Linked DNA regions of Diceros bicornis minor. The protein of the gene in region 1 interacts with the protein of each later gene in a pairwise test. Links are inferred from orthologs where the notes say so. Each region holds a gene or a part of one and is shown on either strand. Other genes may lie near its edges.

Region 1 (7,838 bases):
TCCCCCAAAGCCCCAGTAGATAGTTGTATGTCATAGTTGCACATCCTTCTAGTTGCTGTATGTGGGACGTGGCCTCAGCATGGCCGGAGAAGCGGTGCGTCTGTGCGCGCCCGGGATCTGAACTGGGGCCGCCAGTAGCAGAGCGCGCGCACTTAACTGCTAAGCCACGGGGCCACCCCAATAAAATAATTTTTTAAAACATGCAGCCCAGAGAGGGTGAGCCACTTGCTCAAAGTTGCCCAGCCAACAAAGCAGGCTTCTTTCTACCACGGCCTTGCTGTGTGACCTCCATGCAATCAGTTCACCTCTCTGAGCCTCAGTTCACCACCATGAGACATTCTTATGAAGGGCCGTCATCAAGCTGATGGCAATTTCCCCTGGAAGCCACCACACCAAGCCCTATAAACCATGCACCGTGAGGACATCTTCACAGCCATCGGCAAAGAGAAGGGCCATGGCCTCGCTTCACAGATAAGCAAAGTGAGGCTACAAGATGGAAGCTGTTTGCCCGAGATTGTACGATAATTATGCAGCTGATGAATAAATGAAAAGCAATACGGAAAGTACATACATATTGAGGGATATGAGGAAGCCATTTGGTTTAAAACTAATTCGGCCTGACTTTGTTTTTCCAGAATGGTCTGGTGTGCCCTGTCGAACATGCATTGTGCATCTGTTTTAAACGTTTACAACGTCCCAAGCAAAGAACGCTGCCTTTAAAGATAGGGATGTAGGCCTCCCCCCACATCAGCATTTCTTTAAAGATAAGTATTTCCTTCCAGAAACTAAGGTCACAGGGACCTGCCATGCTAGCAAAACATCTCGTGACTGTAGTAAAAGAGATATTCCTGTTATACGTGGCGTCTGTTCCTTGTTCCAAGTCAGTATATAACTACACTGTACACCCCGATGCTTCGGAGGGCTTCCTTCCTTGGGGAAGGTTTCCTCCCAGGCTATATGGTCCTCAGATTAGCTCATGTAATCAACTCACCCCAATCTTGATTTATAGATTGATTATTGATTATTTGTGTTGACAATGCTGAGTAGTTTCCCTTATTCAGTATCCACAACAACCCTATATGATGATCATGGTCATTCCCATTTTAAAGATGCAGAAACTGAGGCACAGTGAGGTGAGGGCACAGGTCTGGGGGCACACAGCAGGGAACGGACAGAGCCGGGATTTAAGCCCAGGCATGGAGGATTCCATAGCAGTCCTGTCCTGTCTAAGGGGACAGAGGGGGAGGGGGCAGAGACAGGGAAACTGAGGCAAGGGAGGAAGGCGGGGGAAGCCAGGAGGCGTGTGGACCTCAGTGGGAAGGGCCCTCAGGCTTCACAACTCACGGTAGCCGGCGTTGTTGACCACACAATCCAAGCGGCCAAAACGGCGGATGGTCTCAGAGATGAGGGTCTGAGGAGAAAGACGGGTCGTGAGGGAGCAGTGTTGGCCCCGGGCCTTGGGGAGCCCGGGCGCCCAAAAGCAAGGCGTGGAGGTGGACGCTGGAGTCACAGTTGAGGGAACAGGAGCTGGAGGAAGTGAGGGACCCTCCCCACAAATCACCAGGCATGGCAGGAGAAGAGGAGACAGGGAGCCGGGGAAGGTGGGGGCTAGATACTAGATCGACACTGATTGAAGGGAAGGGACAGAAACCCTGAGATGGGCGAGGGAAAACTCTTACAGGAGGAGACCCGCTGTGATAGATTTTTTTGTTCTAATCCTCACGACAGAGTGGCAAGAGTCTTGAAGAAGTAGGAGATAAAGGAGAACTTTCCCAGGAGACACAGGACCTGGCCAGCAGAATCAAGGAGAGCCTTGAAACAATACTGAGCTGGTCCCAGTACAATTTAGCCAGGAGAAGAGGGAAAGGTAGAGGGAACAGCATGTGCAAAAGCCTAGAAGAGAAACGAGAGAGAGAGAGAGAGAGAGAGAGAGAGAGAGAGAGAGAGAGAGAGAGAGAGAGAGAGAGAGAGAGAGAAACTGCTGGAGATCCGGAGTAGGGACCGAAAAATACTCACCCTTATGTCTTCCTCCTGAGTCACGTCACAGAGGAGAAAGACAGTTCCAGGAAGCTCCCGCTCCAGGGCCCGGCCCCCAGACTCTGCAGAGAGAGAGAAGGGCTGGGGGTCCGGACTCCCAGATCGGAAGGAGGGGGCTGGGGGCCCGGACTCCCGGGTCTGGGGGAAGAGGGAGTTGGGGGCCTCCCCGACTCCTGGGTCTGAGGGGCCCGGACTCCCGGTGCTGGGGGAGAAGGGGCTAGGGGTCCGGACTCCCGGGTCTCGGGGAGGAGGGGCTGGGGGTGAGGGACCAACACTTACCATCTTTGTCGCAGATAATCACTTGGGCCCCGCTTTGCACTGAGAACAGAACAGGTTACCCCAGCACAGACCTTGGCGAAGCCTCTGCTGCCCTCTTGTGGCCACCTGGAGTGGGGACTATCTCCCTCCCTGCTCCCTCTGACCCCAAAGTCTCGTGATGATCCCCTAGGTCAAAGGGCAGAGGCCTTGACACATATTCTTCTTGGCTGCTCCAGGTGCCTGCTGCGGCTCCCGAGCCCCCACCCCTGGGATCCAGAGCAAATTCTAAACCTGCAAGAGCCATTCACCCCTTTTGTAGCTATAACTGAAACTCAGAAAGGAAGTAACAGCGTTTGGGTGACACGCCAAGACCTCAGGCCCTAGGCTACCCCTGCCAATCCCTTCGTTAGCATTACAATTGGCTTTTATACGATAAGAATCTTGACTCCGGTACTGAAGACCCTTCTTCCCACATCCATTAGCCCACGGGGTCCCTCCTCTCCCAGACTCCAATATTTCGAGCAGCCAGACCCCTCTCACCGAACGATCGCACGATCCCGGCTCCGATGCCGCGCCCGCCCCCGGTTACAACGACCACCTTCCCGGCATAGCGCGTTCCCGTGGCCATTCTGCCTCAGTCCGTGTCTCCCACTGTCACTCACTCTGCCCCTCTTTCCACCTCCCAAGTCCCGGGAGGCCGAACCATAAATAGAGGCTGGATCCTGGAAGCCCGGCCCTGGGGGGCGTTGCCAGAAAGACCAGAAGCCTGGAAGTTTGGCCCCAGCCCCTCCTCCCTCAGACCCGGGAATCTAGGTCTCCAGCCCCTCCTTCCTCAGATCTACAAGTCTGAGGTCCCTGTCCCTTCCTCCCTCGGGACCCAGGAGTCCAGACTCCAGCTCCGCCCCTCAGAGACCCCACAACAGACACAAAGAAAGCTATTGACTAAAAGTTCAAAGTTTTAATCCGAATTTGGACAAGTGTTGGGAAAACCAAACTCTGGCCACCGAAACCACTCGCCGGCAGGCCACCGGAGGGGACTAGATCACGCCCCCCGGTGCCCTGAGTGGCTCCAGATCTCGGGGCGGTACATCCAGGCCACGCCCCCACGCTCCGATTGGCTGCCGCGTTTGGGCGTGTCAGAAGCTGGACTGCAGCAGAGTAACTCGCAGAGGCCACGCCCCCTCATCTTGCGTCAGGGCGGGAGGGGCGGCCCCAGGATCCCACGAGGACTCCCAGGAGGCGGGGCCTGCGCCGCGCCCACTACCTCGGCGGGAGAACCCGGTGGAGCGGGAATTGGCCAGTGGAGGAGATCTTGGGGCCGAGGACACCTGGGGCGTGGGGTCTGACGGAGGCGGCGGCGCAGGGGGAACAGGGTCTCCTCGGGAGTCCAAATTTCCCCCTGGAGAGGACGATTGGGGAATGAGAATGGCAAACCTTGGGATTCGGGAGTCCAGACCCCCAGACTTTTCCTCCTTCAGACCCAGGAGTCCCGACCTCTCAGTACCCTCCTCCAGACCCAGTAGCCCTAGATCCCGATCTCCTCCCGCCTGGGATCTAGAATTTCCAAGCCCCGTCTAGCTCTTTCCTCATCAAGACAAAGGATTCCCAGCCGCCCTCAGACCCCTCCCCACCAGGACCTAGGATTCCAGGCCTCTGGCTCCCTCTTCTCTAAAACCCAGGAGCCCAAAGTCCCCAGCCCCTCCTCACCTATCATCATTCTGTGCCACTGCGATGCCTCAGTAGCCAGGGCTTGAGAGAGGCTGAGGACTCGCTCCCGGTGACCTTCGGATGTTGGCAAATAAGGGGTGGTGTTCCTTGGACTAGAAAAAAAGAGATTTGGGGGACGTATACAATTATCCAGTACAGAGAGGACCTCCGTGCTGCGCGTGTCCTTCTGGGAGTTGTAGTCCCTAGCACGTGTCTCTAAAGGTCTTTAAACATGGCGCGGCCCTCATAAAAAGCACGCGTGCATTATGGGATTTGTAGTCCAGTCGCTCTTAGACTTCACCGGTTTTCCAGACGGAGGAGCGGAGTGTGATATCTACCCAGTTTTGCAGTTTTGGAAACTGCAGTTCTCACTGCGGATCTAGGGCTTTCTGATGGCCCAGGAACTCAAGCGTCTCCAACAGGTTCTGCGACCTGCACTTCAGTACTCAGGAGACATTAATAATAGTGCTACTATTCCCTTCCCCTTTGGCAAATGGATTTCCCTGCTCCTGGCCGCGCCCTCCTGTTCCCTACCTGCTCCAGGACCCGGAGCTTCTGAGCCATTTCGGGGCTCCTGAGTGTCCTGGGACAGGCTGCAAAGGAATTGGGGCATTAGAATTCCTCACTTGGAAGTCCCCACGTTCTCATTTTGAGGGTGAAATGAAGGGGGCTCAGAGAGGGGATAAAATTGCCCCCGGAGACACTGACAATGTGTAACTTTACATGCGCTCCTGGAAAACAGGTTAAGATCCCGCCCCACCCCTCCACTCCCCAACACACACGCAAGCTTGTGTGTTCTGGGAAACGGCTTACTACAAGAACCCTTCTTCTCCATATGTCTTAGATAAGACTCAGATGACACCCCGCACCCCTTGTTTACCTATGACAAGGCCAGAAACAGGCCCTCCAAACTCACATTCTCTACCTCACAAATGATTAGCTGAACTGTTTGTCTCCCCAAAACTAGGTAGACACAGAGATAAACGGTTGGTGTTCAGCTGACAGAGACGCCCCCCGATTACAAAAACAATCCCAATCTTGAATCACCCCACCTATGATTTGTCTAATTCCTTCCTAGAAAAGTCTAAGATGAAACCATCCCACCAAGACACTCTGATCTTAAGATCTGGGGTGCTCTCCCCCACTGCAATAGCATGAATAAAATCGATTTCCTTACTTGCTCAAAAAAAATTATTTTTGCCTTTGATAACACTGGGCTTCCAGTCCAGACCTATGACCTCCACGCTGAAGGGAGAATGCTGATGAGGTGGAGATGTTGTCTCTGCCCCACCCCCTACCACACCCCACTTCCATTCCCCACGGCTAGGGGAGCCAGAGTGCTGATTTCAGCTCAAGTAAAAGTTGGGGCAAATCTGGAAACCCAGTTCTGGGTAAGGAAGTAGGGAACATCCCCATTTTACAGAGAGGGAAACTGAGGCTCTAACTAGGAGCAGAAGACCCGCTACCACCCCATCGCCCCACCTCGCACCCCTAGTTCCCCTCACCCTTTGTTCCGTGTCAGGCTGGCGTCTGGCTGGGGACAGTGTCCTCCTCAGGGTGAGGAGCCGAGGGGAAGCCGGGCGAGGGAGCGGCCGTCCACACTCCTGGTTTCTGCGTATCCTCTCCAACTGCTCCTGAGCACTCATCCGCGGCCGGGGCACGGGAGCCTGGGGAGATGAGAAACACCTCGAGACCCCAACCTTGGGCCTCCACGTTATCTCTTCCCTGAACCTCTCTGTCTCCAGTCTTGCCCTCTCTAGAAAGTTCTCCACTGGACCTCAGAGGAATCTTTCTGCACCCAGAATTATGCTGCTCTCATCCTCTTACGGCCATCAAGCACCCTCAGGACTACGGTGTTTGAGGTCCTGTGTGGCCTATTCCCTACCCACCTCTCAGGCCTCAACCCCATCAGCCACCCTATTTGAACCCAAAGCCCCAGCCTAACAAACACCCACACTCCCCTAGATATATGAAGCTTCTTCACACTAGTAGTCAGGACCCTGGGTTGCTTGTGTTGGGGATCAGAATTTGCGATGCCAAAATGTGTCTCTTTGGCTTGATTATTTTTTTTTTTTGAGGAAGATTAGCCCTGAGCTAACATCTGTTGCCAATCCTCCTCTTTTTTTGTTTTTTTGTTTTTGCTGAGGAAGATTGGCCCTGGGCTAACATCTGTGCCCATCCTCCTCTACTTTATATGGGACGCTGCCACAGCATGGCTTGACAAGCCGCGTAGGTCTGCCCCCAGGGATCCAAACCTGCAAAACCCAGGCCACCAAAGCAGAGCGCTCAAACTCAAACTCTACCCGCTGGCTTGATTATTTTTTAATAAAAAAAGACTCAAAACGAAACTATGACTTTCCCCTAACTGCCTAAAAAAGGAAGGCCTGTCCCAGGACAGGCCACGACCACAGATAACTCTGGGTATGGTAGACTGGGAGGGTCCTTGCTAAGCCCATTTTTATCAAAGTTCTCTCCCTTGGGTCTCATTGTCTATAGATGGCCCAGCAAACATTTGTTTACCAAACATTTGCCTTTCCATCTCCATGTAAATTGCCTTCTTCCCCTTTGAGGTCCCAAACCACTACCCCCAACATCCTCCTTTGTCCTTAGCTGAAAATGGTATTTAAGGTAGTGGTTCCCTCATTTTGGCAAGTTACTCAGTTTTCCTGGGTTTCTGCCACGTATTCATGTTATTAAACTTTGTTTGGTTTTCTCCTGTTATTCTGTCTCACATCAGTTTAATTCTTAGATGAGCCAGAAGGACCTAGAGGGTAGAGGAATAGTTCTCCTTCCCCCACACGTGTGATGAAAGACAATTTTAACAACAAAAGGAGGAATGAGATGTAGTAACTAAACTGTTGAGAGGATCAGTTTGGGTTGGCCTGAGAGAGGACTTGATGAGCTCTGTCTTGCCCTCAAAACCCGAGAGAAGACACACCCAGGAGGAACACCCTGTGACAATTGGAGCTTTGCTGCCACAAGCCAGGGAACTACCGGAAGCCAGGAGAAAGGCCCAGAACAGATCCTTCCCTGGCACCTTCAGAGGGAGTATGGCCCTGCTGACACCCAGATCATGGACTTCTAGCCTTAAGCACTTAAAACGAAGGAGGACAAAGATAAATCAAAGAAAATATCGTTCACCAAAAGGAAACCAGAACTTGAAGATTTGGAAAATTCTCAGCCTATCCAGATTGCAAAAAATGAGAGAGAATGCTCTGGAAAGAACGCCAAGGGTGTGGCTGGACAACCTGTTTGCTAAGAGATTAGGCATGTGACATGTGGATCCTATAAATCATCTCAGCAGAAATGCTGCCAGCTTGAACTGAAGGGGACAGACAGGGGACGAAATGAAGGAAGGCTGTCAGATTTCTAGGATGCTACAGGCAGGAAACGGGCCGATAGGGCTATCTGGCTGCACACATCTGTTATCCTTCAGGAAAGGGGGCAATTTGGACACAGACATGTACACAGGGAGGACACCACATGACGAATGGAGTTATGCTTCCACTAGTCAAGGGAATACCAGAAGCCTGGAACAGATCCTTCCCTAGAGCCTTCAGAAGGAGCATGCCGCTGCCGACACTTTGGTTTTGGATTTCTAGCCTATGGAACTTCGAAAGACAATAAATTTGTTGATTAAGCAAAAAAAAAAAAAAAAAATCAGAGGGAAGAGAACTCTTAGCTGCAGTCTCCAACTAGAAAATTCTATGGAGCCAGCTTGGATCAGCTGCTCATTGTAGGTCCAATCCCAGCAGATTACTCTGGTTTACTCTAATTTGGCCAATCTTGAGTGACACGTCCACCTGTTATAAAAATGATGGCCCCTGTATATCGGC
Region 2 (7,139 bases), on another chromosome or scaffold:
TCCCATTTGTGGAAAGCAGCCTCATTACTTTACAGTTGTTCCTTGTAATAATCACCAGCAGGACCACCCACAAAATGCCATGATGAATCCATATGAGCATTATACCTAAAAATAAAAGAGCATAACATAATACTTGTCCTTTTTGATGATTATCTCAAAATGTTTCTGATGGAGCCCCATTTTCCTTTAATACACTGTCTGGATCGATCACTCAAGAAATTGTCTTGATATTTTCCATATCTATATTTTCTAATGGCACTCGCATTGTACTTTTACAGCGCTGTCATACCTATTATCTCAATTTTTGCTGGGTTTAAACAGTTTATCTATGTCTGGCCATCTAGCTTAATGGCACAATTTAATATTATTATACTTTGAAGCATTATTTTGAATTGAAAGAAAGTTAACATAACTATAACACTGGTCTAAGTTTAAGGGAATTTCAATAAGGACAAAAAAATCACTTTTGTCCTTTTTCTTAAGCAGCACATTTTCATTAGCAGACAAGTTTTATGAGGGCACAGACCATGACATTGTGTCCCCGAAAGTGCCTATACCATGTAGGTGCTCAAAATGCTTAAGTCATGAAACCAACAGTGACAGCAGGTCAACTTCGGACGCAGCTGTGTGAGGCAAAGATCACCAGGGCTGATCTGGCAATCTACTGTGCAGACTGGCCTTTCCCTGCTGGCCGTTTCCATGTTGATATTCTCCAGGCTTCAGCCACAGACCTTCCCTTCACCCTCTACACACTCTACCTGAGCAAAGGCATCCACTCCCATGGACTTAACTCCTATTATATGTGTGGATGACACCAAATTGTTCTTTGACTCGGGCTTCTTTCCTAAGCTACAAATTTTATCCCTTATTGTCTATTAGATATTTCCATTAGTATGTCTGACTATACCTCAACACAAGGCGCAAACTGAAATCATCATCATGCCGAAACCTGCTCTTTCTCAGGTGTTGCCTATGTTAGTAAATAGCCCCACCTAATTGCCTAACAATGAAACCCAGGTAATACCTCATTCCTCTAGTACTCACCTACATTGACTACATCACCACCGATTCCTAGTGATTCTACCACCAAAAATATATCTCCAGTCTATCTGCTTCTTTCTTCCTAAGACTGTACCTGAGGTATCATTGTAACTTACCAGAATTACTCCTAACTGGTGACTGTGCATCCAAACTAGCTCCCCTCCAACCTACTGTGCAGCCAGAATGATCTTTCCAAAATGTGAATCTGTTTAAAAACCTTAAATGACTTCCCCTGGTCCTTAGGAAAATGACCAAACTCTTTGTTATGGCTTACAAGGTCCATTAAGAGCTGGAAACTACCATGTAAATGACACTATAACAGGGCAAAATGGATAAGCACGTGGGGTCTAGAGGAGCCAGACTGATCTGTTACTTACTAGCTGTATCAATAGGCAAGTTACTTGATTTCTCTGAGGCTCAGTATCCTCACTGTAAGATGGAAATATTAATATCTATCTCACAGTGTGGGTGTGCATATTAAACTAGATGAAATACAATGCATGACACAGTATCTGACAGATCTGACACATAGTAAATGTTTAGTAAATATTAGCTACTGTTATCATCTCTCTAGTTAATGTCTCACTTCTCTCCCATTTGTACTCTGAGTTCCATGCATAGGAACATCTTCATTTCCTCTTCTCACACATTTCTTCTTCCTTTATGTATCTAGTCCCTCTGGCTGCAACTTCCCCTCCTACCACTCCACCCCTCCTGCATTCTTCAAGTCTCATCCTAAATGCCACATCCTTTGGAAAGTCCTTCTGTGCACTCCCTGTCTCCTGTTAGATGCTCTTACTATGTGCTCCTGAAAGCTTTGTATTTTCCCTACCATACACTTGTCTGACTTTCTAGTACTTTCTCCTTACAGCCAAATTGTAAATTCTCTGTGAAGAGCAAGTGTCTTGCTCACCACTGTATTCCCAATGCCTAGCACACAGTAGGCACTTAACACAGATTGTTATGTGTATGAATGAGTGTGTCTTTCCTCTCTCACAATTCCCCCCCACCCCCGTGCTCCTCCCCAAACTGCAGTTGGTAGAAAAGCACAACCCTCCCATAACAGCTATCTGTAAAATACGGTTCAGAAAAGGCTGCCACAGAACAAACATGCTCAAATAATACCGGGAAGGGCAGGTTAAAACAAGATTGGGGGGGCAGTAAATGAGGGGGGTGTATATTTCTCAAACTATCTCCTGCAACCAGTGTTCTGCAGAACACATCGCGGCAAAGCTGGTTTAAGGAGATGCCCTCCCCTTCTAGAACTTCCAAGTAAGCCGGTTGCTGTGGACGGGAAATCTCTCAGGCACTTATTTCGCAGGGTTCACTGTTTTTAAGTCAGTACCGACTGGACCCAGAATCTGAGAGCTGGAAGGAACCAGAGACATAAATCAACAAATCTCCGTTTACAGATGCAGACACTGAGGCCAAGAAGGGCAAAGCGACCGGCCCACGGCCACACAGCAACTGAATGCAACAAGCAGAGAGAGAAGAACCCCAGGCGCCCATCTCGTCCCTGCGACTTGCACTACAAACAATGCCTCTGGCCGCTGGGGTCGGTCTTTCTCAGCCACCGGCCCCTGGGCCTACGGTTACCGTCCCCCTCTCCTCCCCATGCCACCCTCCCTCCGCCACGACGCACCGGCCCCGTAAGCCATCCAGCGCAACTGGAGCTTGGCTGGCGCAGGGGAGATCGTTTCTTTCTTTCCTTCCGCGTTTATTTCCGGAGTGTAAACTTTTTCACGTAAACCACACGAACCTGTTAATTTTAACGCCTCCGCTTAAATCCCCATGGGCGCCACTCCCTGGTCCAGCGCGCCCCAACCTACCCTGCCCTCTCCCTTCCTCGCCCAGACCCCGGGGCCTGCCGTTGCTCGTCACCTGGGACTGCCATGGCGCTGTGAAAGGGGTCGCAGGAGCCCTAGGATTTCGAGAGCGCGCTCGCTTCCCGCCGGCCGTGAGGACAACGCACAGCTAGGGCGGCCTCTTCCTCCCACCCGCGCCGCGGCTCCTAGATGACAGTTCGGGGGGGGGCCCCTATAATTCTCTGGCGATAGCGGAACCAAGTAACCACTGATCCAGCTTCCGGGGGACGCATATTGCAGCTCACTCACGGTCCGAACCATTACTGCCAGCTTCGGGAGGTGAATGAGACCTGCACACGCATGTAGTGAAGTAAACAACACCAAGACTTAACGGATCGTTCTTTTTAAAATTGTAATAGAAATTAAATTAATCTACAGCGGCTTAATAATCTTTTCTCCTTTCTTGGAGGCTATCAGAATCCCCCTTCTCAGGGTTAGCGGTGCTCGGGTCCGGGAACAACATGGCGGCGCCCGTGAGGAGCTAGCTTAGGGAAAAGATAGCGTTTGGCGTCGCTGTCTTGCAGGATATTGACAGACTGGAGCTTTCCGCGACCACCCGACTTAAGGAAGCCTGTACTAATAGGTGGACAGCTTTAGTGATCGGCCGTCCGCTCTCATCCCCAATTGAGAGCAGAGTCTTGAGGACTGACCAGCATGAGCAACATCTACATCCAGGAGCCTCCCACCAACGGGAAGGTGAGAGCCTCGTCTGGGATACCTGGGCTCCCCAAAGTGATACCTCACTGACGAAGGGAGTCCTGGGATCTTAGGGTTGTGAGAGATCACAAGAAGTCTTGTTTTTACCCCTGCCTCTGAACAGGATTGCCTGGAAACCATCTATTGGCACTTCTCAGCATATACTTGAAAAAGTCCTCAAGGGAAGATTGATTTCTCCATCTACCAGCCTTCTGGCCCTATTTCTTGCTTTAACCTAACTCATGCAGGTGTTTTCTAGAGTCTTAGGTAAAAACCTAAGTACAAATTAAAATTTGACATTTTTCGCATAACTTAGAGATGGCTCTTTCTCCGTTTATTGAACGCCAGCTAGGCACCGGGCACTTATTAGGTTCTGGGGATACAAATATAGATGGATAAGGTCTAGTTGTTGCCCTAGAAGAGCTTATGGTTTAGTTGGGAGGCAGGCAGGTAAAGAAAAGCCTTAGGATATGTCTGGTAGGTGTGCTTATGGAGAGAGGAGCACATTGCTGTGCTATTACGGAGAAGTGAGCAGCTGGGAAAGTAGGGAAAACTTCATGGAGGAGGTATCTTTTGAGCTGGTCTTAAAACATGAGATGATTGTTAGAGAAAATGGGGAATGGGAAATGTTCCCACATTAGAATGATTTCCTGATTGATTTGACAGTCAAGCTATGTCAATTCCCATCCCAGGTGTTTTATATGCAGTATGAGGCAGAGAACTAAGTAGTGGAAGGAATATCACCTGAATTCTTTTTTTTTTTTTTTTTGTGAGGAAGATCAGCCCTGAGCTAACATCCATGCCAATCCTCTGCTTTTTGCTGAGGAAGACTGGCCCTGAGCTAACATCCGTGCCCATCTTCCTCCACTTTATGTGGGATGCCTTCGCAGCATGGCCTGACAAGCGGCGCGCGCCCGGATCCAAACTCCGGCTGCCAGCAGCAGAGCTCACGCACTTAACTGCTAAGCCATGGGGCCGGCCCTGGCCTTTTCTATCTACTTTCTATGAAATAGCAAACCTCATTCATCTCCTGCATCCCAGCATTCCCTGGCTCCCTAAACCCTTTTAGTTTTTTTCTGCAGTACTTATTATTGATTGTTTATTGTCTCCTCCACCTGCCCCCATAAAATGCAAGTACTGTGAGGGCAGAGACCAGCATCTAGAAGGGTGCTTGATACATAGTAGAAGGAGTTCAGATATGTACTGGATGAATGGATGAATGGATGAATTAATACTATGTTTCTCTTAACTTTTGAGAAGTATTAAACATCAGTGACTTTGGGGTTATACTGCTGCTGGTCAAGGGCAGACTTAGTTGCTTTACTCTGGAGGAAGATTTGAGGTGGTCATAAAGATAAAAAGCTTTAACAAAGATACATGCCTGAACAGGAGATCTTTCATTCAACAAGTATTTATTGAGCGCCTAGCTCATGTGGATCTATGCTAGGTTTTAGGGATACAATGGAAAGAAAAACCAGCATTGTCTCTATTATCATGGAGTCAGTTGAGTGAAGTATACATTGACCGAATAATCATGCAAATAAGTCTGTGCAAACTGTGATCAATACAGTCTTTCTTCTAAACAGAATTGGGCTGAAGGAGAACATAGGCCAAATTTTCCTTCAAGCACAGTTTGGGACTTTTTTCCAGCTGAGGGGTGATTGAAGACATTGAAGCTTCAAAGTTCTGTACTATAGAGAGTATGGCAAGAATTTTGGCCTGGAATGAATTTAATACAGATATAATAAGCTTGCTCAATGAATGTTAGTTTAGTACCTGTGGTGTCTAATGCTACGTTAGGTACTGAAAGGATACAGAGATATTCAGAATAAATGGGACAAAATTCCTCCCTTCAAAGAGTATAGTGTCAACTTGGGAAGTAATTGACGTATTATACCAGTGGTTGACCCCTGGCAATTGTCCATAAATGTGCTGTGTTTTGCTGTAATGCTATAACTCTGGCCTCTGAAGATGAGGCACAGAAATATACCACTTGATAGAAATTTCCTTATCCACTGGAGATGAAATCTCCACATATTATGATCATTTAATCTAAATTATATATTAACATGTGTTTATTCTTAAGAAGCATTTTATTATCAAAGTATTGTCTTATTTGGGAGCTCTAAGAAAAGGAGCCACCGACGCCTGACAAAGTAGTGATGGTGAAAGGAGGGAGCTGTGTGCCTTCTTTTTTAATTCAGTAGCTTCTTGGTGGAAAGATTAAGAAACCCTGGTAAACAAGGTGGCCCAACCATGTATGCATTCTTTTTACTGGATGTAAGTTTGCTGTGGCCAAAAACATTGTATGAGAATAATAATTACAACAATACTAGCTACCATTTTTTGAGCATTTCCTATTTGTCAGGTACTGTTCTAAGTGGTCTACATATATATAATAACTCATTTTGGCCTTGCAACAAACCTATGAGAATATGCTTATGCCTGTTTTTAGATAAGGAAGTTGAGTCACAGAAATGTTAGATATCACACCCAAGGTAACGAAGCTAATCTTACCTTCGTAAGTGGAATGGTCAGTATTTGATTTTGGGCAGCCTGACTCCAGAATCTGAAGAGGGAGGGCTGATGTGCAGTAGATTGTTCTTTAGGACAGTGGTTTCTAAATGAGTGAGTGCACACTTAAGAGGGCTGCAAAACCATCCATGGAGTGCAGGCAGAAAATCTACTTACTTCTGTTTGTATTTATTTTCTCCTTTATTTGTTTAAGTGCAATATTTTATACGTAAAAAGGAACATATAAATTCAGTTACTTCTGTTTGTATTTATTTTCTCCTTTATTTGTTTAAATGCAATATTTTATACGTAAAAAGGAACATATAAATTCAGTTACTCGTTCAATCACTTTTTATATATCATGAAGTATTTTTTCCTAATTCTTTGCTAAGTGGATTTACATTTCTTGGTATCTAGATTAACTAAACCAGCCCTCACAAGTTTCGTATTGAAGATAATAATGTAAATAAAAGCAAACCATAAGAAAATGGTAGAGCTAATGCCTCAGCATGAGAAGTCTGTCAAAAATTAGAAATTGTTATGTAAATCTTTTGAAATATGGATTTCTATTTATTATTGTTAATGGTGAACATTGTCTTAAATGTATATTGTGCTTTAACATATTTATCAGTAAGAATATAAAGCCATTGTGATTTTCAAGACATTTAGAAACTAAGTGTATAGAACAGGAAGATGGACCACTACAATTTGAAAGCAACATTATGCTAAGTGAAAGAAGCCAGCCACAAAAGGCTACACGTTGTATGATTTCATTTTTATGAAATGTTCAGTGGGCAAATCCATAGAGACAGAAAGTAGATTAGTGGTTGCCAGGGAATAAGAGTAGGAGGAAATAGGGAGTGGCTGCCAATAGGTACAGGGTTTCTTTTTGGGATGATGAAATGTTCTGGAATTAGATGGTGGTGGTGGTTACATAACTCTCTGGATTATATTAAAAACCACTTTAAAAGGGTAAATTGTTTGGTATGTGAATTATATCTCAATAAAGCTGTTATAAAAAAA

What was found. The genes of interacting proteins can lie anywhere in the genome.
Region 2: the proteins of HSD17B14 (region 1) and SREK1IP1 interact in binary tests that used the Homo sapiens proteins (3 or more experiments, as listed by UniProt). The two-hybrid records come from large-scale screens. The link is inferred for Diceros bicornis minor from reciprocal best matches to the Homo sapiens genes HSD17B14 and SREK1IP1.

Annotation. Positions count from the first base shown.
Region 1 is NC_080773.1:24,435,792-24,443,629, forward strand, and holds the start of HSD17B14 (17-beta-hydroxysteroid dehydrogenase 14), read right to left. Parts: upstream 3,009-7,838; 5' UTR 2,924-3,008; coding exon 2,836-2,923; intron 2,356-2,835; coding exon 2,317-2,355; intron 2,100-2,316; coding exon 2,017-2,099; intron 1,412-2,016; coding exon 1,345-1,411; intron 1-1,344. Other genes in the region: PLEKHA4 (pleckstrin homology domain-containing family A member 4), read right to left, coding at 3,432-3,694, 4,003-4,115, 4,537-4,595, 5,508-5,669. UniProt on the Homo sapiens protein: Catalyzes the NAD(+)-dependent oxidation of L-fucose, yielding L-fucono-1,5-lactone, which rapidly converts spontaneously to L-fucone-1,4-lactone. Can also act on D-arabinose and L-galactose, with lower catalytic efficiency. Does not use NADPH.
Region 2 is NC_080759.1:12,124,675-12,131,813, reverse strand, and holds the start of SREK1IP1 (protein SREK1IP1), read right to left. Parts: upstream 3,083-7,139; 5' UTR 2,936-3,082; coding exon 2,923-2,935; intron 1-2,922. Other genes in the region: spliceosome-associated protein CWC27 homolog, read left to right, coding at 3,561-3,602. UniProt on the Homo sapiens protein: Possible splicing regulator involved in the control of cellular survival.